Linked DNA regions of Macaca fascicularis. Each later gene encodes a partner of the first gene's protein in a complex. Links are inferred from orthologs where the notes say so. Each region holds a gene or a part of one and is shown on either strand. Other genes may lie near its edges. The genes, in order: SNRPD2, GEMIN5, PRPF3, SNIP1, ARMC7, PRPF4 and CWC15.

The links.
Region 2: SNRPD2 (region 1) and GEMIN5 share a complex: the UniProt entries of both Homo sapiens proteins name them as parts of the SMN-Sm complex. The link is inferred for Macaca fascicularis from reciprocal best matches to the Homo sapiens genes SNRPD2 and GEMIN5.
Region 3: SNRPD2 (region 1) and PRPF3 share a complex: the UniProt entries of both Homo sapiens proteins name them as parts of the U4/U6-U5 tri-snRNP complex. The link is inferred for Macaca fascicularis from reciprocal best matches to the Homo sapiens genes SNRPD2 and PRPF3.
Region 4: SNRPD2 (region 1) and SNIP1 share a complex: the UniProt entries of both Homo sapiens proteins name them as parts of the minor spliceosome. The link is inferred for Macaca fascicularis from reciprocal best matches to the Homo sapiens genes SNRPD2 and SNIP1.
Region 5: SNRPD2 (region 1) and ARMC7 share a complex: the UniProt entries of both Homo sapiens proteins name them as parts of the minor spliceosome. The link is inferred for Macaca fascicularis from reciprocal best matches to the Homo sapiens genes SNRPD2 and ARMC7.
Region 6: SNRPD2 (region 1) and PRPF4 share a complex: the UniProt entries of both Homo sapiens proteins name them as parts of the U4/U6-U5 tri-snRNP complex. The link is inferred for Macaca fascicularis from reciprocal best matches to the Homo sapiens genes SNRPD2 and PRPF4.
Region 7: SNRPD2 (region 1) and CWC15 share a complex: the UniProt entries of both Homo sapiens proteins name them as parts of the minor spliceosome. The link is inferred for Macaca fascicularis from reciprocal best matches to the Homo sapiens genes SNRPD2 and CWC15.

Annotation. Positions count from the first base shown.
Region 1 is NC_088393.1:53,756,148-53,760,642, reverse strand, and holds the start of SNRPD2 (small nuclear ribonucleoprotein Sm D2), read left to right. Parts: upstream 1-1,477; 5' UTR 1,478-1,530; coding exon 1,531-1,532; exon of another isoform or gene 1,533-2,264; intron 2,265-4,495. Other genes in the region: QPCTL (glutaminyl-peptide cyclotransferase-like protein), read right to left, coding at 1-8, 510-716. UniProt on the Homo sapiens protein: Plays a role in pre-mRNA splicing as a core component of the spliceosomal U1, U2, U4 and U5 small nuclear ribonucleoproteins (snRNPs), the building blocks of the spliceosome.
Region 2 is NC_088380.1:161,717,017-161,720,752, reverse strand, and holds part of GEMIN5 (gem-associated protein 5), read left to right. Parts: intron 1-346; coding exon 347-466; intron 467-1,827; coding exon 1,828-1,960; intron 1,961-2,946; coding exon 2,947-3,112; intron 3,113-3,736. UniProt on the Homo sapiens protein: The SMN complex catalyzes the assembly of small nuclear ribonucleoproteins (snRNPs), the building blocks of the spliceosome, and thereby plays an important role in the splicing of cellular pre-mRNAs.
Region 3 is NC_088375.1:110,939,470-110,943,902, reverse strand, and holds the start of PRPF3 (U4/U6 small nuclear ribonucleoprotein Prp3), read left to right. Parts: upstream 1-1,483; 5' UTR 1,484-2,148; intron 2,149-4,433. UniProt on the Homo sapiens protein: Plays a role in pre-mRNA splicing as component of the U4/U6-U5 tri-snRNP complex that is involved in spliceosome assembly, and as component of the precatalytic spliceosome (spliceosome B complex).
Region 4 is NC_088375.1:197,372,124-197,376,591, forward strand, and holds the start of SNIP1 (smad nuclear-interacting protein 1), read left to right. Parts: upstream 1-1,648; 5' UTR 1,649-1,712; coding exon 1,713-1,936; intron 1,937-3,193; coding exon 3,194-3,296; intron 3,297-4,468. UniProt on the Homo sapiens protein: Required for pre-mRNA splicing as component of the spliceosome. As a component of the minor spliceosome, involved in the splicing of U12-type introns in pre-mRNAs. Down-regulates NF-kappa-B signaling by competing with RELA for CREBBP/EP300 binding.
Region 5 is NC_088390.1:81,488,641-81,492,976, forward strand, and holds the start of ARMC7 (armadillo repeat-containing protein 7), read left to right. Parts: upstream 1-1,457; 5' UTR 1,458-1,750; coding exon 1,751-1,841; intron 1,842-1,924; coding exon 1,925-2,068; intron 2,069-4,336. UniProt on the Homo sapiens protein: As a component of the minor spliceosome, involved in the splicing of U12-type introns in pre-mRNAs.
Region 6 is NC_088389.1:44,822,584-44,826,781, forward strand, and holds the start of PRPF4 (U4/U6 small nuclear ribonucleoprotein Prp4), read right to left. Parts: upstream 2,997-4,198; 5' UTR 2,911-2,996; coding exon 2,884-2,910; intron 2,117-2,883; coding exon 1,939-2,116; intron 1-1,938. UniProt on the Homo sapiens protein: Plays a role in pre-mRNA splicing as component of the U4/U6-U5 tri-snRNP complex that is involved in spliceosome assembly, and as component of the precatalytic spliceosome (spliceosome B complex).
Region 7 is NC_088388.1:93,956,789-93,961,167, forward strand, and holds the start of CWC15 (spliceosome-associated protein CWC15 homolog), read right to left. Parts: upstream 2,813-4,379; 5' UTR 2,512-2,812; intron 1,407-2,511; 5' UTR 1,399-1,406; coding exon 1,268-1,398; intron 382-1,267; coding exon 269-381; intron 1-268. UniProt on the Homo sapiens protein: Involved in pre-mRNA splicing as component of the spliceosome. Component of the PRP19-CDC5L complex that forms an integral part of the spliceosome and is required for activating pre-mRNA splicing.

The DNA.
Region 1 (4,495 bases):
AACGGGACCTTGGGAAGGAGGTGGGATAGGGAAGGGAAGAATGAGAGCAACCCACCATTTCATCCCTACCCCGGGCGCCGTCACCCACAAGCAGCCCCGGGTCCTCTTTCTAATTTGCGGCCTCCAGCATCGGAGACTTCTAGGATAAATCCAAGGCTCAGAAAAAGTCCTTCCAAGACCATCCGGTCCAGCCTACCTCAAACTTGATGGGGAAATCGAGGCCCAGTGAGAGAGAGGGGAGATGGAGGAAGGGACTCTTCCAAATAGTTGACTAAAGGCGTAGAACCCTGAACCCCCTCGTCTTACTATTTCAGACCTTTCCTCATAAAAGGAAGCTACTGTTGTAAAACCAGCCCGAAGCCTTATTCCTTTGGTAAGGGTCATGCGCTCAGATGACGAAGACTGTGGCATCTGCGGTTAGGGCCGTACGCTAAAGCCAAGTCAACCCTGGGTAACAGCGGGGAGGGAATGAGGGTCCCCGCGGTGCCCGGGTCCCCGCCCAGCCTCACCCGCAGCTCCCGGCCCAGCGGCAGCTCCTCAGTCCTGCGGTGCCAGCCGCTCCAAATGGTGTAGAACGCCGAGCCCACGGCCAGCGCCAGCAACAGGGGCAAGAGCCGAACCCGCGGTAGCAGGCGGCGCTTCGGGGGCAAGAGTGGCTCCATAACGCCACGTTCCCCTAGCCGCAGGCGGGGCCGCCCGCGGCCCCCGGAACGCATGGCAGCTATGCCCTGAAACCTGTACCAGACCACGATTGAGTTTAGGCCCAGCCAAGTTCCACCCCATGGAATCAGTGGGCCAATAAGCAACAGCAGCGGCTGCACCTGCCCACCCCACAGCGAGCAGCGAAACCAATAAGAGCTACGGTCCTGAGGACACGCCTCCCGGCCTCCCTTGGGTATTGGGGTTGGTTCTTCTGAGAATGGCACGACCCAAAAGGGAGCGCAAAAGAGATAGGCTCCGCCTTAGCGGAGGGGGAAAGCCAATGAGCAGCGTTTGATCGTGGAAAATATTCAATCTCTCGGGCGCAGGTCCATGCCCCTCCCGGATGTAGGCAGGGGATTGGTGGCGCAGGGTCGGAAAGATCAGTAGATACGTCAATAACCCGTCCCAGAGGGAAGAGGGGCGGTGCCTGTCTCCGAAGCGAGGAGCGGATTGGCTTCAGCGGAGGCCGCGCCCCCGAAGTCACGGCCGGCGGGCATTTGGAAATAGTTTGTCATTTCCCTCCTTAAACCTGTACCATTCTTAAACGAAACGGTTTGAATCAGACCGCCTTTCCTTTTGTCTTCATTGTCATAAACATCTGCCCCGTGTGGTTCTGACTGGCCTCGAACCCCTATCCGAGGCTTTTATTCTTTCATTGTGCACCGTTGGTGGGCAATGCTATGGCAACAGGCCACGCCTCCACTTACTGGTTGGCTTTGCGCAGGCGCCAACGGAAGTGGGTCGCAGGAAGAGGAAGTCCCGCCTCTCTCGCCTCAGGCTGCAGCAACGCGGAGGAAACGGGAGTGAACGGAGAGCTTAGTGACCATCATGTGAGGCCGGGCTAGGCTTAGGCGGCGGGAAGGAGGTTGAGGGTGGAAATTTTGACCGATTGAGGGTGGGAAGGGTTGAGCAGAGAGCGGGGTGGGGGACAGGGGCAGATGTTTTAGGGATGGAGCGTCCTGCGTTTCTCCTGATGAGTTTGAGAACGGGCGTGGGGCCTTTGACGCATCGTGACTTCGGGAGAGGGGACAGCTTTATCAGATAACGCGCTGGGCTGGGCGCGGGGACTCATGCCTGTGATCCCAGCATTTTAGTAGGCCAAGGCGGGAGCATCGCTAGAACACAGGAGTTTCGAGACTACTCTAGGCAACATAGCGAGACCCCCGTCTCTACAAAAAAAATTTTTTTTAATTATGAAAAACATATTTTAAACGATAACGGAGGGGGGTCCTAGATAATTAGTCCTATTGAAGTGAATGTTAAGGGGCAGCGATTTTACGAATACTGGGGGAGGCCGGGCGCGGTGGCTCAGGTTTGTAAATCCCAGCACTTTGGGAGGCCGAGGCGGGCAGATCACCTGAGGTCAGGAGTTTGAGACCAGCCTGGCCATTGTGGTGAAACCCCGTGTCTACCAAAAATACAAAAATTAGCCAGACGTAGTGTCGGGCCCCTGTAATTCCAGCTACTTGGAAGGCTGAGGCCGGAGAATCGCTTGAACCCGGTAGACGGAGGTTGCAGTGAGCCGAGATTGCACCACTGCACACTTCCAGCCTGAGCGAAGAGTAAGACTCCATCTCAAAACGAAACAAAAGAAATCAAAACGAATACTGGGGAAGGGAAGTTAGGACTTTTAGAAATAATGATTTGAAATAAGGGACTTCTCCTGATCATTTGAGCTGGAGACAGATGCGTTTTCGACCTAATTCACAACTTAAAGGGATAACGAGTGATTGGCATGATTTTGCTCATTTATTAGTGCACCAAATATTACATTGAATGTTTATGTATCAGACACTGCTTAAGCCACATAGGATACATCAGTGAATGAAACCTTTTGTTCCCAAGGAAAAAAAAAATCTTTTTTTTTTTTTTTTTTTCCCGAGACATAGCCTTGCTCTGTTGCTCAGGCTGGAGTGCAATGGTGCGATCTCAGCTCACTGCAACCTCTGCCTCCCGAGTTGAAGCAATTCTCCTGCCTCAGCCTCCCGAGTTGCTAGGATTACAGGCACCAACCACCATGCCCAGCTGACTTTTATATTTTTAGTAGAGACCAGATTTCGCCATGTTGGCCAACCTGGTCTCAAACTCCTGACCTCGAATGATCCACCTGCCTCGACCTTCCAAAGTGCTGGCATTACAGGCGTGAGCCACCGTGCCTGGCCGGGCGTGAGCCACCATGCCTGGCCGGGGTTTTACTTTCTACACTGAGATGGCGGGGGGGCATGGGAGGATTTTCTTTTGTTTGTTTGAGATGGAATCTCGCTCTGTCACCCAGATTGGAGTGTAGTAGCACGATCTCTGTCTCCTGGGTTCAAGTGATCTTCTTGCCTCAGCCTCCCAAGTAGCTAGGATTACAAGCATGCGCCACCATGCCCAGCTACTTTTTTTTTTGGGGTGGGGGATGGAGTCTTACTCTGTAACCCAAGCTGGAGTGCAGTGGTGTAATCTTGGCTCACTGCAACCTTCGCTGCTGGGGCTCCAGCGATTCTCCTGCGTCATCCTCCTAAGTAGCTGGGACTAGAGGCATGCGCCATCACACCTCGTTAATTTTTTTGTATTTTTAGTAGAGACAGGGTTTCACCATGTTGCCCTGGGTGGTCTGGAACTCCTGAGCTCAGGCGATCCACCCCCCTTGGCCTCCCAAAGTGCTGGGATTACAGGCGTGAGCCATCACACGCAGCCTAATTTTTGTATTTTCTAATTTGTATTTATTTATTTTTTGAGACAGAGTCTCGCTCTGTCGCCCAGGCTGGAGTGCAGTGGCATGATCTCGCTTCACTGCACTCTCCGACTCCTGAGCTCAAGCGATTCTTCTGCCAGAACCTACCAAGTAGCTGAGATTACAGGCGTGCACCACCACGCCTGGCTAATTTTTTGTTGTTGTTTTTGTTTTGTTTGTATTTTTAGTAGAGATGGGTTTTCACCGTGTTGGCCAGGCTGGTCTCGAACTCCTGATGTCAAGTGATCCACCCGCCTTGTGAATCATCACCAGCTGGATGCCTAACAGACATTTTCTTTTCTTTTCTTTTCTTTTTTTTTTTTTTTTTTTTTGAGACGGAGTCTTGCTCTGTTGCCAGGGTGGAGTGCAGTGGCGCGATCTCAGCTCACCGCAACCTCTGCACCACAAAAGTGCTAGGATTACAGGCATGAGCTACCGTACCCAGCCCCTGGGAGGGCTTTGAAGAGTGACATGTTATGATTTAGGTTTTAGCACAGCCCCCTCAGACCACTCTGTGGAGAACAGACTGTCAGGGAACATGGGTGGAGGCAGAGAGACCGGAAAGATTCCAGGTCAGAGATGACAGAGGCTGAGGCCATGGTAAGAAATGGCCACTTCCTACAGATTTATTGTAGGATGCAAGGGAAAAAGAGGAATCAAGTTGACAAAGAGTTTTTGCCCAGAGAACTAGAAGGCAGATGGGGAACACTGTGGATAGGGTAGGCTTCGGTGGTTGGGTGATCTGGACCCCGACCTGAGACATGCAGAGTTGAAAATGTCTGGCTGAGCGCGGTGGCTCACACCTGTAATCTCAGCACTTCGGGAGGTCGAGGCGGGTGGATCACGAGGTCAGGAAATCAAGACCATCCTGGCCAACGTGGTGAAACCCACTGTCTACTAAAAATACAAAAATTAGCTGGGCGTGGAGGTGGCGCGCACCTGTAGTCCCAGCTACTCAGGAGGCTGAGGCAGGAGAATCGCTTGAACCCAGGAGGCAGAGGTTGCAGTGAGCTGAGATCGTGCCTCTGCACTCTAGCCTGGCAACAGAGCAAGACTCTGTCTCAAAAAAAAAGA
Region 2 (3,736 bases), on another chromosome or scaffold:
CTCCTGCCTCAGCCTCCCAAGTAGCTGGAATTACAGGCATGCGCCACCATGCCCAGCTAATCTTGTATTTTTAGTAGAGACAGGTTTCTCCATGTTGGTCAGACTGGTCTTGAACTTCCGACCTTAGGTGATCCACCTGCCTCAGCCTCCCAAAGTGCTGGGATTACAGGCGTGAGCCACTGTGCCCGGCTGAATTATATCATTTTAATTATACATAAAACTTCAAATTTTACAGTTCAGACCTATGAAAGAGATAGCTAAGTTCTGGGAACTCTTGCAAACTAATTGTTTTATATTAGTGTGTGTTTAATGCAAATTAAAAGCAAAATTGCTACCTATCTCATAGAAGAAGCTGAAATTACCAATGGGAATGCTGTGGCACAAGCTCCAGTAACAAAAGGCTGCTACTTAGCCACTGGAAGCAAAGATCAAACCATTCGAATCTGGAACTGTTCTAGAGGCCGAGGTAAGATTGATCTTTCTTTTGTGATGTAACCTGTGTTGATCTGGTGGAAGTAGAGGGTTTTTTGTTCTGTCTTATTGTCCTGTGGGTGTGTCATCTATCTGAGAGCAGTTCTTCACTTTTCGGTCTAGAATTCTGCTTCCTCATTTGAGCCTGGGCTAGAACTGTCTATTCTCTCAACATCTGGCCTTAGAATGAGTATTTCCCATGCATTCCAGAAGAAAACAAGGACCTCTTGGTTTATAGAAAGGGTCACTATTTGGCATGGAGAGCAGAATATTTGTAATAAAAATGGGAATATTAGAACATGATATGGCCTAGGCCAGGAGAATGGAAAAGATCTCAAGAGTTAGAGCTTTTAATGCACAAATGCAGAATAACATACACCCAGCCTGGAATTATGTGTAAAAGCTCATTTTATCCAAATTATAGAGCCCCTCAATCATTTAGCGTTCCCAAATTTCTCTTTGAACAGAACTTTTCTCGTTAAGTTTAAAAATTAAGAGAAACTCTAGGCATAATTAATATTTATAATATATTAGGGAATATAACCTTTATAGTAAAAATCTTGCTTTTCTCTTTCTAGCGGGCTTCTCCATTTTATTTTTTTTTTCTCGCAGTTTTTTAAGCTGTGGTGGAAAATACAATATTTGCCATTTTTATCACTTTTAAGTGTACATTTAAGTGGTATTAAGTATACCCTAAAGTTGTGCAACTGTCACAACCACCTGTCTCCAGAATTCTACTCTCCATTCTCCCCTCCCCCGGGCCCTGGCAACCATCATTCTGCTTTCTGCTCTATGATTTTGACTACTCTTGAGTATTTTCTTTGAGTGAAATTAGACATATGATATGTCTTTTTGTGATTGGCTTATTTCACTTAGCATATATCCCTGAGGTTTGTTGATGTTGTACCGTACGTCAGCATATCCTTCCTTTCTAAGGCTGAATAATATTCCATTGTATGTATGTCCCACATTTTGCATACCCACTCATCCACTCGATCTCCTGACTTCATGATCTGCTCGCCTCAGCCTCCCAAAGTGCTGGGATTACAGGCATGAGCCACCGCGCCTGGCCAAAAAAAGAAAATATACTCTTAATGTGTTGAGGTTGTCAAGATAGCTTATGGAAGCTTATTTGACCTAAATGTAGCTGGACTAGTATTAACCACTGTTTATAGTGGTTAAAAATATAACCATTATAATGGTTATAATTGTAACCATTGGAAAACGAGATCTGAATTCTAAGTAACCAAACTAACAAGCTTTTACAGCTCAGACTGTGTATTGTGAACTGCCAGCAATGTCATGCATGTAATTTCACTGTCTTGAGTGCCCATTGGCCTTCCTTTTAATCTGCAGGGGTGATGATTTTGAAATTGCCCTTTCTGAAGAGAAGAGGAGGGGGTATAGACCCAACTGTTAAAGAGCGCCTTTGGTTGACACTCCATTGGCCCAGCAATCAGCCAACACAGCTGGTATCTAGCTGTTTTGGGTAAGTCTTTTATGGTCATGCTTTCTTAGATATGTTTTGTTTTTCTATTTGGCCTCAAGGACTCCTAGGTTTCTCTTTGTAGATGGAGAAAATAATGGCCAAGGCTTGTATTATGATGGGCCCCATTTGAAATGGAAAAATTGTGAGACTGATGCTTGTGCTGTCTACTAACAGAGCTGTAAAAAGATCAAATAAGTATAGTCTGGCAGTTAGGAATATGGACTCTGAAGTCAGAAGTAAATTTCAGAATCACTTTGTCACTTACTGCCTTGTATTCATGAGCAAGACCCTTTACTTTTCTGAGCTTCAGTCACTTCATGTGTAGAAAGGGGAGATGGTTATAATATTTTCTCTTAGGTTGGATGGCTATGCCCATTCAGTAAACAGAGTTCATTGACTACCTACTTCTAGTGACTGGAGATAAATCTGTTTAAAGGGTAGTCCAGTATACTCACATGGTTCAAGAAGAATGAAATTATATAATAAACTGTCCTGTCTTCCCTGGCTACTTGGTTCCCCTTTCTGTGGCTCAAATTTTTTTTTTTTTTTAAACAGGGTCTTGCTCTGTTACCCAGGCTTGAATGCAGTGATGCAAACACAGCTCACTGCAGCCTCAACCTCCTGGGCTCAAGCAATTCTCCCACCTCAGCCTCCCAAGTAACTGGGACCATAGGTGTGCACCACCATGCCCAACTAATTTTTTAATTGTTTGTAGAGGCAGTCTCACTTTGTTGCCTAGGCTGTTCTTGAGATCTGGGCTCCAAGCTATCCTCCTGCCTCAGCTTCACAGAGTGCTGAGATTACAGATGTGAGCTACTGCACCCAGCCTTCCCAGAGATATTTTGTGCGTATTTTCAGAATATGCAATTTTTCTCTCCTTAAAAGACAAATCATTTTGCAGCTATGAGCCTAGACTCTGTGACTCAACAGTCACTTGTTTTCAGATTGTTTGTAAAAGAACTAATGCTTATGTTTTTCCTTCACAGAGGTGAACTGTTGCAATGGGATCTCACTCAATCTTGGAGACGGAAATACACCCTCTTCAGTGCCTCATCAGAAGGGCAAAATCATTCAAGAATTGTGTTTAATTTATGTCCTTTACAAACAGAGGATGACAAACAGCTATTACTTTCCACATCAATGGATAGAGATGTAAGAGCTGCTTATTTTCACTCAGCATTGTAGAGCAGCAGTTTACAACTTGGGTGGGATTAGAGGGCTTTTTCAAAGCACCTGTCAAGTCATAATACCCCACCCCTGACTCCAATTTCAGAGTTACTGCTACAGATCAGCACTGAATATATCAATAGCTCACATGTAGGGAGAATGTGAAGACCCATCAAAATGGTTTTTTGTTAAAGCAGACATGATAAAGAAGTTTTGCCCAGGGAAGGATATATTAGGTCAAGCTTGTCCAACCCATGGCTCAGGATGGTTTTAAGCTCATCAGCTGTTGTTAGTGGGGTTTTTTTCTTTTCTTTTTTTTTTTTTTTTTTGAGACGGAGTCTCGCTCTGTCTCCCAGGCTGGAGTGCAGTGGCGCGATCTCAGCTCACTGCAAGCTCCACCTCCTGGGTTCACGCCATTCTCCTGCCTAAGCCTCCCAAGTAGCTGGGACTACAGGCGTGCCCACCTGCGCCCGGCTAACTTTTTTGTGTGTGTGTTTTTAGTAGAGACAGGGTTTCACTGTGTTCGCCAGGATGGCCTCGATCTCCTGACCTCATGATCCCCCTGCCTCAGCCTCCCAGAGTGCTGGGATTACAGGCATGAACCACATG
Region 3 (4,433 bases), on another chromosome or scaffold:
TGCCTCGACCTCCCAAAGTGTTGGGATTACAGGCGTAAGCCACCACACCTGGCCTAAAATCAGTTTCTAGAAACACATTTCTCCATAGGGAATTGAACTCAGACTGTTAGAAGCACTAAAACAAAATAAATTTACAACAACCCTGCAACGTTGAAACTCATTAACCCATTCAACAAACTTTTTTGAGTGAATATTTTGTGAGACATTGGTGTTAGAAGCTGTAAGTGGAGAAACTGATTTGTGAATAAGTTGAGCAGCAAGTTGAAGCTCCCCCAACTGGTTCCTTCAGAGCCAGGCTTTATCCTTTTAGGTCATGCTGCCCCATCAGGGATGGTGGGGCTTGGTATGTACATTGTATCTTTAGATACAAAAATCTCCTACTATCTGGGGAATTTGAATAACCTCCCTGAAGAGCAACTGCATCTTCTAGTGAGCCTACCACCAAGAAGACATTTTGGAATTTTAGTTTGGATAGTTTATAATATAAAAATAATGGAATTTTTTCCATTTCTCACATAAAGAAATTGTGTCATAATACTGGACATCCTTTTTCCAAACTATCTTTGCCCACACACGTTGTTATGATTTAAAGGGTCAGTAGGGGCCAGGCGTGCTGGTTCAAGCCTGAAATCCCAGCACTTTGGGAGGCCGAGGTGGGCGGATCACGAGGTCAAAAAATCGAGACCATCCTGGCCAACATGGTGAAACCTCGTCTCTACTAAAAATACAAAAGCTAGCTGGGCGTGGTGGTGCGCGCCTGTAGTCCCACCTACTTGGGAGGCGGAAGTTTCAGTGAGCCGGGATAGCGCCAGTGCACTCCAGCCTGACGACAGAGTGAGGCTCCGTCTCAAAAAATAAAAAAATAAAAATAAAAAAAGGAAGGGTCAGTAGGTTAGAGCCTCATTTTGGAGAAAAGGAAATATATAGACCTATTGATAGAATGGAGAAAGCAATACTGGTAGGTCTCACTTGTCATTTATTGAGCCCAAAGTGCTGGGATTACAGGCGTGAGCCACGGCGCCCGGCCTGACACCACTGTTAAATTAGGGAGAAAGGTTAAGGATGGGTGGCTAATTCTAGTGATCACGACTGTGAAAGGGTTTACTTTCCACCAGAAAGACTGTGTTTGAACACAAACGCAGAAGCCTCGCTCTTCATTCTATCCGAAGTTTACCTTTGCGCACTTATTCTCCATATGAAGAAAACTGCAAGTAGCCCAATTTCCGCTTCAGGAAGTTAAAAACATTAACTTGGCAGAAATCTAGTTAATAGGTTTAGCCCGGGAAATAGAAAGCAAGAAACTTGCTCAGGGAAACTTTTCGGTTCTACGACGCATGCGTTCAGCCTCCAAGAAAGTGGCAAATACGGCTGCGCGAATTGCCGGCCCAGCCCTCCTTGGTCACGTGTTGGGAGACAGCGGCGTGGCGGCGGCCGTGGCGGTAGCGACGGCAGGCCGTAGGGCGGTCAGAAGGTTTCCGGTTCCGGTGTAACGTTCGGGCTCCGTCTCAGGGGCTGAAGTTTGTGAGGTGAGTAGTGGCCCCGGGCCCAGAGAGGGTAACTCCAGTCCGCGCGACTGTGGCCGGGGGCTTAGTCCAAGGGGAGGATCGAAGCGGGAGGGTTCAGCGGGAAGGAGTGTGAAAGGAGTACCTGGTTTGGTGGAAGAAGAGATTGGAATGAGATTGTTGAGAGGAAAAGGGCGGGGGCGGGAAGCAGACCGGGTGGGGAGACCAGCTCTGAGGTGAGGAGTTTGGGTAGAACAAGGTAGAGTAAGAGACTGGTTGGAGTGACGGAGAGTAAAAACAGAAGATTTGGGGCTGCAGAGGGAAACTCAGGTTCTAGCAAACAAGAGCACGGAGTAAGGAATTCCTTCAGAAGACTGGATTTGGATTCTGCTGCCTGCTCATTGAGAGATCATTGTACCTCGCTCTCCTTCCGCACCCCCATTCCCCCTGCACCTCACAGTTATTGTTGAGCATTTGATTAGTGACAAAGCTAATTACCGTTTGAAACTTTTCTGTCCATGGCTGTTTAGTTTGCACATCATCTTATGGAAGTAACAGTGGCACCTCATTTATTGCTTTGGGCTTTCAAATTGCTTATACTTTGTAGCCTATCATTCAATTCTAGTGGAATATGAGACCCGTTAAGGTGAGGACTCTTGTTAGTTTTGCTCACTGTTTTGTGTATCCACTGCACTTAGTACTTTGCTTGACACTTGGTAGTTAATAAATATTTATTGAATGAATTAAGATGTAAATATGGCAGTCCTCATTTTGTAAGATGAGTAAACTGTGGCTCCAAATAATTAGTTAACTTGCCTAAGGGCCTGTAAATGGTGGAACTCAGTGTCCTAACTGTTCTGTGTGAACTCTTGTTTTCACTTTCTAAGTCGTCTGGATATGCTGCTTTTGTGCAATACGTGTGTAATATGTAGAAATTGGTAGGCTGTATGTCTACTCATTATGGGGTAATAGAGTCACCATAGAATTACTCACGTAACTTGTCACTGAGGCAGAAAATCTTTCAGTCTTAGTTTCATCACTTCAGTCTGCTAGCTTCCTTTGGATATACCAAAAGTGAGTCTACTATTTGGCAGCAAGTCTTTTTTTTTTTTTTTTTTTTGGAGACGGAGTTTGGCTCTGTCGCCCAGGCTGGAGTACAGTGGCGTGATCTTGGCTCACTGCAAGCTCCACCTCCCAGGTTCACTCCATTCTCCTGCCTCAGCCTCCCGAGTAGCTGGAACTACAGGCGCCTACCACCACGCCTGGCTAATTTTTTGTATTTTTAGTAGAGACATGGTTTCACCGTGTTAGCCAGGATGGTCTCGATCTCCTGACCTTGTGATCCGCCCACCTCGGCCTCCCGAAGTGCTGGGATTACAGGCGTGAGCCACCATGCCTGGCCAGCAGCAAGTCTTGTAGACTCTAGTATAGAAGCTAAACCTACCAAGAATGTAGAAGTTAATCAGACTGGATTTTTTTGGAGAAAAGATGTCTTAAAACATCTTGAAAAACTGATTCCCAGATCTCTGATAAGTGGCACTGCTGGGAATAGCTGAGCTTAGAAATTGAGGTCAGTGCAATTTATTGACTCTCATTTAGGCACTTTTTTTTCCCCCGAGGCGGAGTCTTGCTCTGTCGCCCAGGCTGGAGTGCAGTGGCGCGATCTTGGCTCACTGCAACCTCCGCCTTCCAGGTTCAAGGGATTCTCCTGTCTCAGCCTCCGGAGTAACTGGGATTACAGGTGCAGGTCACCACGCCCAGCTAATACTTGTGTTTTTAATAGAGATGGGGTTTCACCATGTTGGCCAGGCTGGTCTCGAACTCCTGACGTCAGGTAATCCACCCGCCTCAGCCTCCCAAAGTGCTGGGATTACAGGCGTGAGCCACTGCACCTGGCTTTCTTTTTTTTTTTTTTGGCGATACAGTTTAACTCTGTCGCCCAGGCTGGAATGCAGTGGCGTGATTTTGGCTCACCGCAACCTCCGCCTCCTAGGTTCAAGCGATTTTTCTGCCTCTGCCTCATGAGTAGCTGGGATTACAGGTGCCCACCACCTCGCCCGTCTAATTTTTGTATTTTTAGTAGAGACGGGTGCAGTGGGTCATGCCTGTAATCCCAGCACTTTGGGAGGCCAAGGTGCGCAGATCACTTTAGGTAAGGAGTTACCTGGCTGATACGGTGAAACCGTGTCTTTACTAAAACTGCAAAATTGGCCAGGCGTGGTGGTGCATGCCTGTAGTCCCAGCTACTTGGGAGGCTGAGGCAGGAGAATTGCTTGAACTCAGGAGATGGAGGTTGCAGTGAACCAAGGTTACGCCACTGCACTCCAGCCTTGGCGACAGAGTGAGACTCTGTCTCAAAAGAAAAATGAGCGTATTCTTTTCTGAGCTGAAGGATCATCAAGTCAGCTGATGGAGACCCTGTAGATTGAACATGATAATTATCTGTATGCAGAATTCCCACTGGGATGAATATGACCACAGAAAAATGTGAGAGAACATTCTTAAGGATCATGAAATTTAATTTAATATCCAGGATGACTGACCTGGATAAACCTGTTTTACTTGCATATCTTAAAAGAAGGGAATCCTACATAAGTCAGGGTTGGATTAGGGAATGCCTGCCTGGAAGTAGGAAGAATGGAGAAGCTGGCCTCTGGATGGGCTTTTTTAGTTTTGTTCTAGTGTTGCTAGGTTTGCAAGTCCTTGTTGATATGACAGGATCAAGAAAGAAGCTAGAATTAATCTCTCAGACGTAGCTTATTCACAGAGTTTATTTATTCCACAGATTTCATTGATCAACTTAAGAGTTAAAAATCAAATGGGATCTCTTTCTGCTTTGAGATAAGGTTCTTGGGGAAAATACTTGCCTTCAAATGAGTTGGAAGAACTTGTCTAGGGATTGAGAATAGGGGTGGGGAATGCATTCCTGAT
Region 4 (4,468 bases), on another chromosome or scaffold:
TGGAATTACAGGCGTGAGCCACCACGCGTGGCCTGAAGTATTTTTCTAATTAAATGGAGAAATGACAATGTAGGAGCCAATGGGAAACTTCCCCTTTGCCCCCTGAGGAGTCGCTCAAAAATCAGTTCACAAAAGGCAGATTAATTGGAGAAAAAGCATACAAATGTATTTAAAGTGTATACACGGGGAGAATCACAGCGTGATTACCCACCCTGAAAGGGGTTCAGAAGCTTATATATCCTCCTGGTAAAACAGACTTATGAGGGTGGGAGAAGGAGGAATTCTGTTCAGGGATTACTAGGCAGAATGAATTAATAAGGGAACAGAGATACATTTGTAAATAGTTTTTTGTTGTTTTTTTGTTTTGGTTTGGTTTTTTTGAAGACAGGGTCTCACTCTGTAGCCCTGGCTGGAGTGCAGTGGTGCCATCACGGCTCACTGCAGCCTCCAACTCCTGGGCTCAAGTGATCCTCCTATCTCTGCTGGGACCACAGGCACGAGCCACCAGCCCCTGCAAAATTTAATTTTTGTAGAGACAGAGTCTTGCTATGTTGGGCAGGTTGGTCTGGAACTCCTGGCTTCAAGCGTTTTTCCTGCCTTGGCCTCCCAAAGGGCCGGAATTACAGGCTGCAGCCTCCGTGTTCGGCTGTAAATAGCTACTTTTGACAGCATAACGGTCTCTGGTCAGGTGTGATTACATTCTTGGGAGGAGAAGAAAGAAACAATTATTCCTTTTGGTAGTCTGTATCTTAGGCAGATAAAGACCTGCGCTTTGGGAGAGATGGTGGGCACCGGGAAGGAACATTGAGGCTTCTTCAGTTCGGCATGTCAGTGCGCCATATTTTGGGGTTTCGATTTCTGAGCCCCAACAGCATTGCAAAAAGTTCAGGAAATAGAAGAGGAAAAGCTAATGATTTGCCCACGGGTTATCATCTCTGATTGCATTTCCATGTCTTCCTCCCTTCTATTTCCAAATGTAAATGTAATTATGGTTTGCGCACAATTTTGTATCCTGCTTTGTCGTTAACAAGTCAGGGTTTTTAAAGTTTGTAAATGGTTTACTAATGGCCACATAACACCCATTAATTTGGCTAACTTCCCTACTGCTGGGTATTTACATTGTTTCCACGTTTTGTAATTACCAGTAATGTGGCAACAAACAGTCTTGAGAGGTTTGCTTTTTCCCAGTTTTTTGTTGTTATTGTTGTTTGTTTGTTTTTGAGACATCTCGCTCTGTCGCCCAGGCTGGAGTGCAGTGGTGCGATCTGCGCTCACTGCAACCTGCGCCTCCCGGGTTCAAGCGATTATCTTGCCTCATTCTCCCGAGTAGCTGGGATTACAGGCGCGCGCCACCACACCTGGCTAATTTTTGTATTTTTAGTAGAGACGAGGTTTTGCCATGTTGGCCAGGCTGTTCTCGAACTCTTGACTTCAGGTGATCCGCCAGCCTCGGCCTCCCAAAGTTCTGGGACTACAGGCGAGAGTCACCACGCCCAGCCAGAAGTTTGTTTTTGAAACTTGAAACTCCCGCCACCCAAGCCGGTCACTGTGGCTACTCCCACTAGGGAGTAGTCACGTGTTTAATATCTGCCGCGAGGATTTCTGGGAGGTTGGGCACCCCGGAAGCGGAAGTCCAGGAGTCAAACTCGTCATTTCCTTCAGCTAGAGGAGCTCAACGGATCTGTTTTCTTTCGCTCAGCCAAAATCACAGAATGAAGGCGGTGAAGAGCGAACGGGAGCGAGGGAGCCGGCGAAGACACCGGGACGGGGACATGGTGCTGCCGGCGGGGGTGGTGGTGAAGCAGGAGCGTCTCAGCCCAGAAGTCGCACCTCCCGCCCACCGCCGTCCGGACCACTCCGGCGGTAGCCCGTCTCCGCCGACCAGCGAGCCGGGCCGCCCGGGCCACCGCGGGAACCGAGCCCGAGGAGTTAGCCGGTAAGTGGGGGAGCAGCCCAGGATGGACGTTGGGTTGGGCTCATTCAGAAAGGCGGGCAGGGCTAGCATCCGAAACAGGTTTTGAATGCTGGGCGCAGCAGCCCGGACTTAATCCTGAGGGACTGTTGAGAGTGATCCAGTCGTGCTTGTGTTATGCTTGCTCTGTCACTTGCCTTATAGCTCGGTGTTCAACGCCTAATGACACACCGGCAGGATCCCACTCCTTCATTCTTGTGTCCCCAGCACTTCGAAGAGTGTAGCCCAACAGATAGCACTGATAATCTGTTAAATTGGAATGAGATTTTCCCCATCCCGCCCACAAATGGAGTGTGGGCCTTGTCTTTCCAGTTACCTGCCAGAAAGGTTTTCACATCGAGGTCTAGGCGAGCTACCTAACAGAAACTGGAAAAATAAAAATAAAAAAAGTTACTTCTTGCTAGACTCATTTATTTATGCATTCATTCACCATAGTTTTACTGAGTGCCTATTTTAAGTGTGAAAGACTGCCCTAGGTATTGGGGCTGCAAGGGCGATTCAGTTAGATGATCTTCACCAGTGCCAAATTGGCCGTGCTCTAACCCTGAGACAGATGATTAAAAAAAAAAAAAAGTTTCAATAACAAGTATTATTGATAGGTTATAACAGTAATGTGATAGAGATTGGAGAGAAGAGGGAGGAGGCCTCTTTAAAGAGGTGCCATTTGAGTCCAGACCTGAGTGATAGGAATGATTCAACCTCTTAAAGATCCAGGCAGAGGAAACAACATCTGCAAAGAACTTGAAGTAGAATGAATTATGATTGAAATGGGAAAAAGCCAGTGTCGGTGGAGTATAGTGGTCAAGAAGGTGGGTGGTAGGAATGAGATGGCATAGGGAGGAAGTAGAACCACAGGATGGAGGGATTGTTCCTGATGCTAGGGGTGTTGGTAGTGAGGGATAAAGAATCAAGGGTGACTTCCGGATGGTGATGCCAGTTAGCAAGATGGCAAGGAGTAGGAGAGGAAAGGTTTTTGAAGGGTTGGAAATTAAGAGTTTTGTTACCTAAGTGAGAAGGTTCAGTAGACAGTTGTCTATGTGAGTATGGAATGCAAGGGAGACGTTAGAGCTAGGAAAATGAACCTCGTGACTCCTTTAATGTGATTGGCAGATACCTTCACAAAAGCAGTGTTTGTGTTAGTAGGTAAGCCTGATACTGGAAGCTAATTTTTATGGGGGAAGGGAAATTGCGATAAAATCCTGTGTACCATGCTCTGTATAGGTCCCCACCCAAAAAGAAAAACAAGTCCTCAGGGAGAAGAAGCAAGTCTCCTCGGAGTAAGAGAAACCGAAGTCCTCACTACTCAACAGTCAAAGTGAAGCAGGTAAGTGGATTGGGGTGTTTTGATGTTGGGTCCAAATTGAGAGCCTTTTCCTATCACAGCTAAAGAGGGCTGTGTGTGTGTGTATTGTGTGTGTGCGCGTGTGTGCACGCACACTCGCCTACATCTCTACCTGTACCTCCAATGGGCTTTTCTGAAAACTGGGTGTATTTCTTTTTTCTGCTTGTTTGCTTAAATTAAACTTTTTATTTTGAGATTATTATTGGTTCACATATGGTTGTCAGAAATAATTCAGGGAGATATACTCTTCCTGGTTTCTCCCAGTGGTAGCATCTATTCATAATAGAACTGTGGTACAATATCATCATCAGAATATTGACATCGATATAGTCAAGATAACATTTCCTTCACCACAAGGAATACCTCATGTTGTCCTTTTGTAGCCACACACACTTATCTCCCACTTTTATCCTTCCTTAACTTCTGTCAACTTCTAATCTGTTCTTCATTTCTATAATTCTGTCATTTCAAGAATGTTATGTAAGTGGAATCATACAGTATGTAACCTTTAGGATTGTCTTTTCTCACTCAGCAGAATCCTTTGGAGATTGATTCAGGTTGCAGCTCTCAGTAGTTTGTTCTATTTCATTGCTGAGTGGTATCCATATGGCATGGATTTAGCCACTTACTCATTAAAGAACATCTGGGTTGTTTCCATTTTTTGGCTATTACACATAAAGCTGCTATATACACATTTGTGTACAGGTTTTTATGTGAACATAAGAGTTCATTTCTCTGGAGTGCAATTGCTGGATTGTACGGTAGTTGCAGGTTTAATTCTTTTAAGAAATTGCCAGACTGTTTTCCAGAGTGGCTGTATTAGTTTCCTAGGGCCACCATAATGAAATACCATAGAGTAGGTGGCTTAAACAACAGAAATTCATTTTCCTGTAGTTCTGGGGCTAAAAGTCAAAAATTAGGGTGTTAGCAGGTTTGGATTCTCCTGAAAAAAATCCTCTTTCCTTGGCTTGCAGATGGCTACCTCTTTGCTGTATCCTTAAATGATCTTTTTTCTGTCCTGGTGTCTTTTCTCAGCCATATTGGATTAGGGCCCTGCCCTCATTTTTTAACTTAATCAGCTCTTTAAAGACCTTATCTCCAAAAACAGTTATTAATACATTCTGAGGTACTTGGGTTTGGTACTTTAACTTGCT
Region 5 (4,336 bases), on another chromosome or scaffold:
CCTTGCCTTTGTCAACCTTAATAGGAGAGGCTCTCTCAAAGAAAATAGTATCTATTTGGGCATAGGGCATTGCAAAGGTAGTATCCATGCCATAGTAAACTATATGGGTATTCAGGGAGGTAAAGAAAGAAAGGCTTTAAGGGAAAAAATAGGATTACATAATTGTTTTGAGATAATTATCCTTAGGTAGAAGAATTAGTAACAAGGGTGACCAGTTCAACGTTGGACAGGAAAGTTGCTGGGCAGATGGCCATTCAAAAGTATGTTTTGTGCAAGGTTGGGGTTTTTGCAGAATCTTTGTGATAGTTTTCATTATCAGATATTTATGCATGAGAACCCTCTTGTCATGGTTTTCTCCGACTCTGTCCGGGTTTTTTTGTTCTGTTTTTTTTTTAACACAAGTGACTCCAATTAGATTAACAACTTTTGCATTCTCAGGACACTCACAGCCTAAGCCACCTCTCTACCCCTACGTTGTCAAACGCGATGGGAGTGTAGTAAGGCCACCTCCTTCCCTGGTGCTTTGTTCCCTGTAACCACGAGTAGTAATCCATCACACACCTGCTTCCCGAGAATCCTCGAGAAGGAATCGGCCGAAGGGCTTCAGCATCCAGAAAGCCCCGAAAGCGCCACAAACAAGGCTCTTCCTCGGGCTCCCCGGTGCTGCCCCGGGCGCGCGCCATCCACCCGGCTGACAAAAAGCACCAGGACATGACCCCGTCCCCTTTGATTTCTGTCCAGAGGTGGCGGACTCACCTCGGGGCTGGGATAGAGGACGGGTCGGGGTCGCTACGCTTTTTGCAAAAGGGTCAAAAGACTGATGGGGGTGGGTAAGGAGCTGACGCCCGCGCTCTAAAGGGGCGTCCTGGTCAAGGAGGCTGGGCCGCGCCCCGCCAGCCATGGGGATCCTGGAGGTGCTTCTGCCTCGACGTCCTCCCAACATGGGTGCTGCCAGACTCCGTTGCGCTCCTGAGTTGCTCCTCACGTCATTCCAGCCGCCCGACATGGGTGCCTCACTTTCGGCTTCTGGGCCACGTCGGGGCGGCGGAGGACCCGGGGGGCCGGGCGGGAGAGTGGGAAAGGTGGGGCGGGAAAGCCGAGAGAGGCCCTCACCCGCCTTCCTGTTGGCGGGGGCGGCAAGTGGGTTTCTTTCTTGCGTTCAGATTTTGCAATAATTTGCAGCTGGACATAGGATATGGGAGACAAGGCTGCTCCTCGCAGTACACCCACCCACGCCCATACCTCCCTCGGCGAAGCGTGTCGCAGCGGGTTCCAGCGCAGGCTAAAGAGCTTCCGCAGCCAGAAAACCGAAAGCGCGCCGCGCACGCGCGCCAAGGAGTTCGGCGACGGCCCCGCCCCTCGCCTGCCTCGTCCCGCCCCTTCCGCGCCTTGTAGGGTGGGGACAGCGCGGCTTCCGCCGGGAGCCTGGAACCGAGCCCGGCAGCCGGGGGCTGGGCGCCAGTACCCACTCCGCCAGCCCCAACCCGCAGACGGTTCCCTGTCTCCCGCGCCCCAATTTCGATTTTCAGACCCAACTCCTACAGGATTCTGAGACCCCGGCCCATCTCCCCACATTCCATTTCCAGCTGCAAATTACTGCAGAGTCTGAACCCAAGAAAGAAACCCATTTGCCGTCCCCGCGTCTTCCCTCGCCAGACAGGTGGAGAGTGGGTGAGGGTCTCGCTCGGCTTTCCCCCTGCACCTTTGCCACCCGCCCGCCCGTCCCTGGGGGTCCTCCGTCACGCCGGCCATGGCCCAGAAGCCGAAGTTGGACCCCCACGTCGGGCGTTTGGGATACCTGCAGGCGCTGGTCACGGAATTCCAGGAGACCCAGAGCCAAGGTGAGAGCCACGGTGGGACCAGGTGACAGGGTCGGCTGTGACCGCCGCCCGGACCTGGCTCCAGTGCCGCTTTCCCGTTGCAGACGCCAAGGAGCAAGTCCTCGCCAACCTCGCCAACTTCGCTTATGACCCCAGCAACTACGAGTATCTACGGCAGCTGCAGGTCCTGGATTTATTTCTCGATTCGCTGTCGGAGGAGAACGAGACCCTGGTTGAGTTTGCTATTGGTAAGGGCTGGGCCCGTTCGCTAGATGGCTAAATGGGCCGGGGTGAGATAAGTGAGTTACAAGTGAGTCCTTGGGGCCTGGCGTGGTGGCTCACACATGTAATCCCAGCACTTTGGGAAGCCGAGGCGGGGGGATCACCTGAGGTCAGGAGTTCGAGACCAGCCTGGCCAACATGGCAAAACCTCGTCTCTACTAAAAGTACAAAAATTAGCTGGGCATGGTGGCGAGTGCCTGTAATCCCAGCTAAGCGGGAGCAAAAATTAGCCGCACACAGTGGTGTGCACCTGTAGGCCCAGCTACTCTGGAGGCCGAAGCAGGAGGATTGCTTGAGTCCGGGAGGCAGAGGCCAAAGTGAGCTGAGACTGCGCCACTGCACTCCAGCCTGGGCGACGGAGTGAGACCATGTCTCAAAAAAAGATGTTTTAAAAAGAGCAGTTTTGTAGCCAGGCGCGGTGGCACACGCCTGTAATCCCAGCACTTTGGGAGCCCGAGGCAGGCGGATCACCTGAGATCAGGAGTTCGAGACCAGTCTGGCCAACATGATGAAACCCCGTCTCTAACTAAAAATACAAAAATTAGCCGGGCGTGGCGGGCGCCTGTAATCCCAGCTACTCGGGAGGCTGAGGCAGGAGAATCACTTGAACCCGGTAGGCAGAGGTTGCTGTGAGCCGAGGTGGCGCCACTGCACCCCAGCCTGGGCAACAGCGAGACTCCGTCTCAAAAAAAAAAACAACAACAATTTCAGGTGGGTGAGGTGGCTCACACCTGTAATGTCAGCACTTTGGGCGGCCGAAGCAGGCAGATCACTTGAGTCCTGGAGTTCAAGACCGGCCTGGCAAAAGCCCATCTCTGCTAAAAAAAAAAAAAAAAAAAATTAGTCTGGCGTGGTGTCCCAGCTACTCAGGAGGCTGAGGTGGGAGGATTGCTTGAGCCTGGGAGGACGAGGCTGCAGTGAGCTGGGATTGGGCCACTGTACTCCAGCCTGGGTGACAGAATGAGAATCTGTCTTAGAAACAAAAGTAACTCATATTTAGTGTTTTCATATCAGGAGAAGCAGAGATGGCTTGCAGTCTGTAACTTACGGCTTCTTTTGTAGTTATGATCTTAAGACCTATTGATTTATTCACTGGGCAGATATTTACTGGGCATGTACCGTATATGTAAACTACTGCTCTAAATGCTGGAGTATGGTGAACAGGTTAGGGAAAGTGTTTGTCCCTCAGGAGCTTACATTCTAGTAGGGGGGACAGGTGGTTAGCAAACAAAAAAGATGATGCTCAGCAGCAAATAAATGGGGTGATGAGAAACAGCAGTAGAAGGTGGTGGTTACTTCCGTTTTGGCCATCATGAGAAAGGCATTTTAGCAGGGACACAGCATGGGCAAAGGCCTTAAAACAGGAAGGAGCCAGAAGGAAGATGAATGTGGCAGGATCGTTATAGTGAAGTGGAGAATGGCACAAAAAGAGGATAGAGAGTTAAGCGGCACCAGAGCTTGCCGGAGCTTAGATCTAGGCCGTGGGAAATAGTTTGAAGCAGACAAAATTTTGAGAACAAACAAAAATCCCTGTTTCAAGCCATGCACAGTGCTCATCTGTAGCCCCAGATAGGAGGATCGCTTGAGCCCAGGAGTTTGAGGCTGTAGTGTGCTACGATTGCATGATTGCACCTGTAAATAGCCACCGCACTCCAGCCTGGGCAACACGCGTGTGATCACCTGGCTGAAGTCTTGTCAGGCTTCTCCACTGTAAAATTACTCTTTCTTTCCCCTCTTTACGTATTATGTATTATACCCATTGGAAGGAAGTCACTACATAAATTATCTTAAATCTTTTTCTTTTTTTTGAGATAGGGTCTCACTGTGTCACTTAGGCTGGAGTACAGTGGTGTGATCATAGTTCACCATAAATTTAAACTTCTGGGCTCTAGCAGTCTTCCTGCCTTAGCCTCCCGAGTAGCTGTGACTACAGGTGGACACCACCATGCCCGGCTTTTTTTTGTTTTTAATTTGTTTTCGAGAGGATCTCACTGTGTTGCCCAGACTGGTCTCGAACTCGGCTTTTTTTTTTTTTTTTTTTTTTTTTAATTTGTTGTCGACACACGGTCTCACCGTCTTGCCCAGACTGGTCTTGAACTCCTGGCCCCAAGAGATAAATCGCTTGTAACCCTAAACAGACCCTCATTTCATAACACTGATTCTTGAAGGCCCCAACCAGGAATGCAAATGTTCCCCCTTCCGGTTTGTCTCATTGCCTCTTTGTGGTTTGTTTC
Region 6 (4,198 bases), on another chromosome or scaffold:
CTACAGCACATGTGTTTAGAAAATGTGTGGGAGGATCAATGAGAAACCTGACAGATGTCCCTACTGCAGAAGAGTCTTCAGTTTTTTGAGACGGAGTCTCGCTCTGTCGCCCAGGCTGGAGTGCAGTGGCGCCATCTCAGCTCACTGCAAGCTCCGCCTCCCGGGTTCACACCATTCTCCTGTCTCAGCCTCCCGAATAGCTGGGACTACAGGAGCCCGCCACCACAACTGGCTAATTTTTTTGTATTTTTAGTAGAGACGGGGTTTCACCATGTTAGCCAGGATGGTTTCCATCTCCTGACGTCGTGATCCACCCACCTCAGTCTCCCAAAGTGCTGGGATTACAGGCGTGAGCCATCACACCCAGCCAGAGGAGTCTTCATTTTATGCCCTCTGGTATTGTCTGAATTTCTTATGACAAATATGCGTAATTTTATTTTAAAAATAGAGTGGACCTCTCATTACTGACATGGAAAGATATCCTCAATGGTATATAAAATGAAAAATGGGGGTTATACAACAATTTACGTATCATGTTTTCACTTATGGAAAAAATGACGTATTTTTATAGCTGTATTAAAATTCTAAGATATACAATCAATTAATTAAAAAATACTGGATTTTCTACTTCACACATTCATACACTGTTTGATCTTTTAAAAGAAAAATAACTATTACCTTTTTTTTTTGAGACAGGGTCTCTCTCTGTTGTCCAGGCTGGAGTGCAGTGGTACAATCATGACTCACTGCAGCCTTGAACTCCCACCTCAGAACCCCAATTAGCTGGGAATACAGGCACGCGTCACCATGCCCGGCTAATTTTCTACTTTTTGTAGAGATGGGGTATCACTATTTGCCCAGGCTGGTCTCGAATTCCTGGGCTCAAGCCGGACTCCCACTTCGCAGCCTCCCAAAGTGCTGGGATTACAGGTTTCAGCCACCAGGCTTGGCCACTATTACTTTTATAATAAAACAAGATATCTCAGCCAGGTGCAGTGGCTCACGCCCGTAATCCCAGCACTTTGGGAGGCCGAAGTGGGCAGATCATTTGAGGTCAGGAGTTGGAGACCAGCCTGCGCAACATGGTGAAACCCCGTCTCTACTAAAAATACAACAATTAGCTGGGTGTGGTAGCCGGCACCTGTAATCTCAGCTAATCGTGAAGCTGAGGCAGGAGAATCACTTGAACACAAAAGGCAGAGGTTGCAGTGAGCCACGGTTATGCCACTGCATTCCAGCCTGGGCAAGAGAGTGAGACCCTGTGTCAAAAAAAAAAAAAAAAAAAAAAAAAAAGATATTTCCCTTTGGGTAAAAAATAATTGGAAAACTTCAAAAGGGAGATTATCACGAACCACTCTAGCTGCAAACCAATGCCAGAACTATGTTAGATCTCCAGAAGACAAATGGAATCAATCTGAATCCAAATGTACACTGAATTTTTGATAAGACTGCTCACTCATAGAAGCAAAACTATGTAACACATTGTAAGAAAAAGGCTCTCTGCATGATTTTAAGGGGGTAGGCAAAATACAGCCTTATAGATGCAAGTTTAAGAATTGAAATTCTGCCAGGCGCAGTGGCTCACGCTTGTAATCCCAGCACTTTGGGAGGACGAGGGGGAGGGATCACAAGGTCAGGAGTTTGACCAACATGATGAAACCCCGTCTCTACTAAAAATACAAAAATTAGTTGGGCTTGTTGGTGTGCGCCTGTTATCCCGGCTACTCCGGAGGCTGAAGGAGAACTGCCTGAACCCGGGAGGCGGGGGTTGCAGTGAGCAGACATCGCGCCACTGCACTCCAGCCTGGTGACAGAGCGAGACTCCGTCTAAAACAAAAGAACTTAAATTTTTTGACATTATAAAACTGATGATATTCAAGTTTAGGAAAGTATTCATTACACAAAGAGGTAAAGATGGGTTCACAATTTGCATCTTACCAGAGGTTATATTAATATTTCCAGCTTCGATCCCTGCTTTAAGTCCTTCTTTCCCCAAAATCCCAGACTCTCCTTTGGCCAGACGCTCCCTCTCCTTCTCTTCCAAACTTCCATAATAGATGTGTGGTTTCTTCACAACCGGAGCAACTAAGTCATCGGGTGTTTTAGTTTTGGTTGCCTGCCAAATCAAAAATCTGGATTAAATTGAGGTTTAATCTTGGCAATTTACCGGATTTCCCGAGGATGAAGCTCGCCCTGAGTTTCACAGTCCTATTTCCTTCATAATTGAAAGGACAAATTGGACACTACTTAAGATGTTCTTCATCGATTTGAGGTGAAGGGGAGGGTGTTTCAGTCCCTCACTTTAGCTGACGGGATTGATAAAACTAGTGAGGTTCTCTCGAGTATTTTCATATGAAAGGTTTGCTCTGGAATCTGTTTACTTTATTCTGCTGGAAACGTGGAATCTCGTGTTTTACGATGTATCCAAGATTACTGCTCATCACTGGGGAAATACTAAGGATAGATGAAATAACCAACGCGGTGCTAAAGGATAACAAGTTACAACATTACGAGTGTATACATTTCAAACGTTTCTAGACGTGAGGTAGAAGTTAGTAGGTCTCATTAAAATTTTGAGATCTGCCAAACGCATAAACCTTGGCCAAGACACTTCCCTATTTCAGAGCACCGTTACTGGATGAGTCGGAAGAGATGTTTGCCCTTTGGGGCTGTAGTGGGAGAGGTGCAAATAAGCTACAGTCCACGAAAGCGCTTAGGGGTCAGGAAAACGGTGGTCCGCTGTGTAGAACACCACTGAGTCCCGCAGCCTTCCTCCTCAGCCCTCCACCGCCTTCTCTCGCTCCCTAACGGCCCCTTCCCGCAGAGATCCTCTTCCCCCTTCGCGCTCCCTGCCAGAGTGAGTTGCGATCCCGGGCTCTGTACCGTGGAGGAGGTTCGCGAGGAAGCCATGCTGGGCTCTGGAGCCGCGAGGCCCCAGCGAAATCCAAGCTCTCCGTTTCAGACCTTCCACCGCGCGCCCAGCAGAGCGGAAGTGCGTCACTGACCGGAAGTGTGTCGCAAACAGGACATGGGCCAAGAGCCGTCGCTGCGCCCGGAGCGGCGCGGAGCATGATGGAAGTCGTAGTAGGAAATGGCGTCGTGGCATTGAGGGGCATCCCTCCTAGAACCTCCAAGAAAAGCTCGCGGAAGACGAGGTTCTGCTGAGAGAGAGGCTCCAAGCCGTCTGGGAAGTGTAGTCCAGTTGGCGTAGCAGTAGTTTCGTGGAGGGGAGCCGAGGTTCCGGGAAGGGGCTGAGCCGACTTGAAAAGAGGTAGGTAAGTCGACTCGCGCGGCTCGGGGCTGAACTCTGGAGCGAGTCGAGGGCTTCCGGGGCCCGCTGTGCCTCCCCGGGCCTACGGGGGCGTTTACGTCTTCTGGGAGCCGAGGACCGTGTTACCATAGAAACCCTGGGATCCGAGGTACAGGCCTGGAGCTAGGGGACGAGGACTGTTCTCTTCCATGGTCCGGAAGTCTTCCCAGGGGCCACCTATGAGCTTGATGGCTCGGCGGTGGATTTGGGCTGCAGCGAGAGATTAAGCTAGAAGAGCCCGCTGGTGCCAAAGTCAAATAAAGACCCGGCGGAGGAGCTTCGGCCTGATTTTGTTCATTTGTCTTCAGCCTGGTCTTTGTATCAGATTGAGAGTAAGATGATGGTTAGGAGGGTGTCAGGGAACTGTACGTCTCTCTGCCCTGCTGGATGCTGGGGTATTAGAGACGAACAGCATAAGGTTTTTATCCCCACGTGGACGGTGGGAGATCCTCAAAATATTGACGTTTCCGTAGCTGGCCAGATCCTCATCCAACCCCCTAGAAAAATTACAGCCATAATAGGTGTTATTTATTGAACATTTATTAAATGCCAAGTAATGTTCCAAGAGCTTACTCTGCATTACGTTATTCACTTCCTACAACAGCAAAGTAGGATACAGATGAGGAAACTAAGGCCTAGTTAGAAATGAAACTAATTGTTCAAGATCAGTGGCGCAGTGGGATTAGAACCTGTGCCCTTTAACCTCTACAGCCAGCACTTTTAACTGCTACTCTATACTGCTCCGTAGTGGCCAGTTTTTCGCAGTTTGCAGAAAAGGTAAAATGTATAGTAGACCTTTTTTTTCCTTTTAGGTATCCCTATCCCTCTCTTTCCCTCTTTGGAACTTTGGCTTTCTCTACCATTTGTCTGCATTGGAATCTGGTAGAA
Region 7 (4,379 bases), on another chromosome or scaffold:
CTGCATCTCTTAAAATGTTTTAGGGACCTGTGGGCACGAGGAGCCCACACTGAAAGCATTATCCACAGTGAAATCACATCCACAGTGCCTGGGCAAATAAGCCTTTGGTAAATATTTGTTATTGTTATCTCTAATGACTTAAGAAAGTATTACAGCTCACATCAATCTGTAAAAGCAAACAAATGGTTAATATTTTCCAGTTGCTACATAAAAGAAAAACTATCAACAACATAATTTTAGAGATAAATGTCTTGGATAGTGTTGGTACCTCGGGTTGGACGATCTCTGTTTTTCTCTCTTGCAGCAGCTCTCTCTCTTTCTTCCAACTCTCTCCTGAAGTCACGGTTACGAACCTCTTCAGGGGCATCCTGAGTAGTTTGTCTAAAGTAGAAACAAACCAGGGCAAAAATGTTACTTAAACACACACACACATACACACACACACGACTGTGGTAATGGAAGACAATTCAGGAATGAGACTTTGTCCTTCAAGCATAAAAAAGGGAAGTAGATAAGATCATAATCTAATCTGAAAGTTACTAACAGCCACTCTTGTGATGTTCCCAATATTTCAAGAAGTCCAAATTCAATCACGTATTTTCCTATAATAAGGCTTTACGTGATTAAAATGTCTTTAATTTTTATTGGTATTATCAACTCAGAACTTAACAGTAATACTTTTAATATATTGACTGGTGCTGATAGTGCATAATCTCTCTGAGGCATTATTATTTCTGTTATTTATTGTTGTATCTACATACGAAAATTTCTGGTTAGTAGGAATTTTGCATTTTAAAACCACAGGGCAGAATTTTAGTGTTAAACATCCTATTGCATTCTAATCCTATGATAATAGATAAGTGACATAACTCGAACATACTACTATATCATGACCATGCCATTTAACAGATTTGGTCTTGTTTTGTGAACAAGAAAAAAAAGAGGCTGGGCGCGGTGGCTCAAGCCTGTAATCCCAGCACTTTGGGAGGCCGAGATGGGCAGATCACAAGGTCAGGAGATCGAGACCATCCTGGCTAACACGGTGAAACCCCGTCTCTACTAAAAAATACAAAAACCTAGCCGGGGGAGGTGGCGGGCGTCTGTAGTCCCAGCTACTCGGGAGGCTGAGGCAGGAGAATGGCGTGAACCCGGGAGGTGGAGCTTGCAGTGGGCTGAGATCCGGCCACTGCACTCCAGTCTGGGCGACAAAGCGAGACTCTGTCTCAACAAAAAAAAAAAAGAAAGAAAAAAAAGAAAGTCTTACTACCTGTATTTTATCTTTGTGTGAGAGGGTAGGTCTCTGCTTGAATACTGCTTTGAAAGTTGGCTCAAATCACCTTCTCCTTTTCCCCTTCCACCTCTTGCAGGTTCAAAGGTTGGCCTGGCTGCTGTTGTCATCTTTTATGCTTTGAAGAAAAATATAATCAAGTTATTTACAACAATACAAACACTCATTTTACAGAGTATTAATATCCATACTAGTGAAATAAATTCTAAAACTCATTCCCCTAAACCTGCTTAATCTTCTTAAACAAAAGTTTTCAGGAAAACAAATTATGAGGCTTAGGCCGTACAACGAATAGGGCTTCTCCGGCTTGTCTTAGTACAAAAAATTCTGTCATGAAGATCTGAGTTTGCATCCCTATTCTCCTTCTGACTATATGGGCTTGAGCAAGTCACCTGGCTTAACTTTCTGTCATCCGTGGAATGGAGATATTCCTCATAGGATTACTATAAGAATTATGACACTTGACATGTCAAAAGCCTTGAAAAATACAGTACTACCATGACTAAGTTTTAAAAATTTCCAACTCAACCTTACTCTACCAGACTCTCTAAGGTTTGCATTTTATCTAAACTTCACACAATAGCAAATAGGCTAGTAGAAACAAAAGCTAAAAACAAACAAAAAATATCACTGACAAAGTTACTAAGTGTCTGAGAAAAAAGTTACTAAGGAAAGTGTGTTAAACTTCAATGACAGGTACATAGAAAAAAATTCTTAACCTTTTGTTGAGCCAATTTTCTCCTACAACAGGCATCATATTATAAATCAGATCGTTTGTGGGTTATAACTTAAGGACTGTTCAAAAAAAACAAAAACAAAAACAAAACAGGAACCTCAGCCCCAGAGGATTCTGATGACAAAAATCAGGGACCCATTCCTTAAGTTACTTTCTGCTTGGAGCAGTCACAAGAATACTGCCTAGCAGATGCAGTCATTAAAACCCTGTTAGTGTCGGAAAAGCAAGTGTGTGGGGAGGGTGGGCGAACTGGGAGGATTTTTTTTTGTGGGGGGGAGTGCTTTCTCCTAATTTTCAAAAAGAGTAAGAGACATGTATACAAAGAAGAAACGGGGTTATCTGGAGCTGGGAGTCCGCCCCTTCCCACACACTAACGGAATTATTACTCCGGCCTCTCGTGAGCTAGTCTTTGGCTATAACCAGAAACTCGTTGCCCCTTAACCCGTGCCCAGCGCCGCAGGGGTGCGAGGGGTAGTGAAAGGAGGACCTGGGGTTCGCTTTACGCGGTAGGCGCGCTGCCTTTTATGCTGCGATCTCCTCTGCGGGCCCGAGAGCTCCGGACGCGCCTGACAGGCACTCCGTTTCGCCCCTAGCCCGCTGCTCTAGGTCCTCCACCGCCCGCACTCTGCACTCTGCCGCCGACTCCGACCCCAACTGCCCTTTCCCGTCCCACCGGGATGAGGAAGATAACCTATCCTCCTGCCGCTCACACTGGCCGAGGTCCGATGCAGCAATCTCCGAAGATCATACAGACGCCATTACGACTCCGAGCTCCCAGAAACCTCTGCGCCCAGGGCTAGCGCCTACGACCCGGAAGCAAAATCCAAGCGCTTCGGAGGCGGAAGCAACGACCAATCCGCAGTGGCCGAAGTGGAAGTCGGCGTAACGGCACTAGGGGGCGGGGCCGAAACGGCCCAGGGGGCGGGCGTTTGAAATCAGTGCCTTAGAGTAGACCCTAAACATCATTTTATACCTTCAAGAACCAATTACTTAATGTCTCTTCCGTCTTTTCCGTCCCCGACCCCCTCCCAGACTCCTTCATTCCGGTACTGCGTGGACGGAAAGCCCCGGGTAGCCGACACCACGTCCCCGGCTAGCGGGAGAGAGCGTGGAAAAGGATTACACCAAACTGTTTAAATCCAACGACTCCTGCTTCCATCCTTTCTCCTGAGCTAGAACCAACAAACCTAGAGAGTTGGGCTTCGGAAAAACTAGTGTTTTCATTTAATTGGATATGAAGAAAGAACAAATATGTACGGGGCAACCACGATCTTTACAAAGGTACATTCCTGCAAAAATATTAACACTTCAAAGCAAAGGTTGTATTCGTAATGTTTGCTAAAATTTTTTATTTAAAAAACGTTAGTTTTAGTGGGAGGGGAGATGTCAATATTTACGACAGCGTTTAGAACGGTGGGCCCAACTGCCAGGAGCACAAGATGTAATTACTAAGATGGCTACTTAAGTGTTAAGTTTTAATAAGAACGAAAAGGAGAAAACCCAAAAACCAAAAACCCACCAATCCTGTCTCCTCCCTTCCATAAAAAAAAATCCTGAGAACAGAGATCTTGATTGTTTAGCTAATCTTAGTATCTCATCACATAGACCTTGACATATAGTAGCTGCTCAATTAATATTTGTTAAACAAATGAAAATTCAACTTCCCCAACTTAGTTTAAAATATAAAGAACTCACAAAGTTGAATATTTAAATGCTTTCTTACCTCTAAATTCTTTGCAACTTTTAAATGAAGAAAGAAAAGCAGAAAAAGCCCTTTCACTCATAGAGTTCAAGATGAAAATCTTGATTTTTCTTACTAAAGGTATCCCTCCTCCAGTCTTACACGTCTCACTAAAGGACACGATCATCATACTAGTTACTCAAACCAAAATCCCAGAGTGCCTACTTAAATTCCTTTTCTTTCACTTTTCACATACGGTTCATTTACAGGTCTTACCAATTCTACTTTTAAAACTTACCCGAAATTTTATTCTACTGCCATTACCCTTGTCCTGGCCAACACCATCTCCTACCTGGATTGTAATTGTTTCCTATTGTATCTTCCTGCGTCATCTTTTATCCTACAGTCAATGCTGCATATAGCCAAGAGAGTGATCTTTTAAAATTAATCAAATGGTGTTACTATCCTGTGTAAAATTTCACTGCACTTAGGATAAAAATCACATTTCTTAATGTGACCTGAGACGCCACGGCGTCTGGCTCCTGCCTAACTTCCAGACTTCACTTCCAATCAGTCACTCGCTTACACACTAAGCTCTAGACACAGCCAACTGGGCATTTCTGTTTTACGAAACAGGGCAAGATTCCTTCTATTTTAGGGCCTTTGCACTAGCT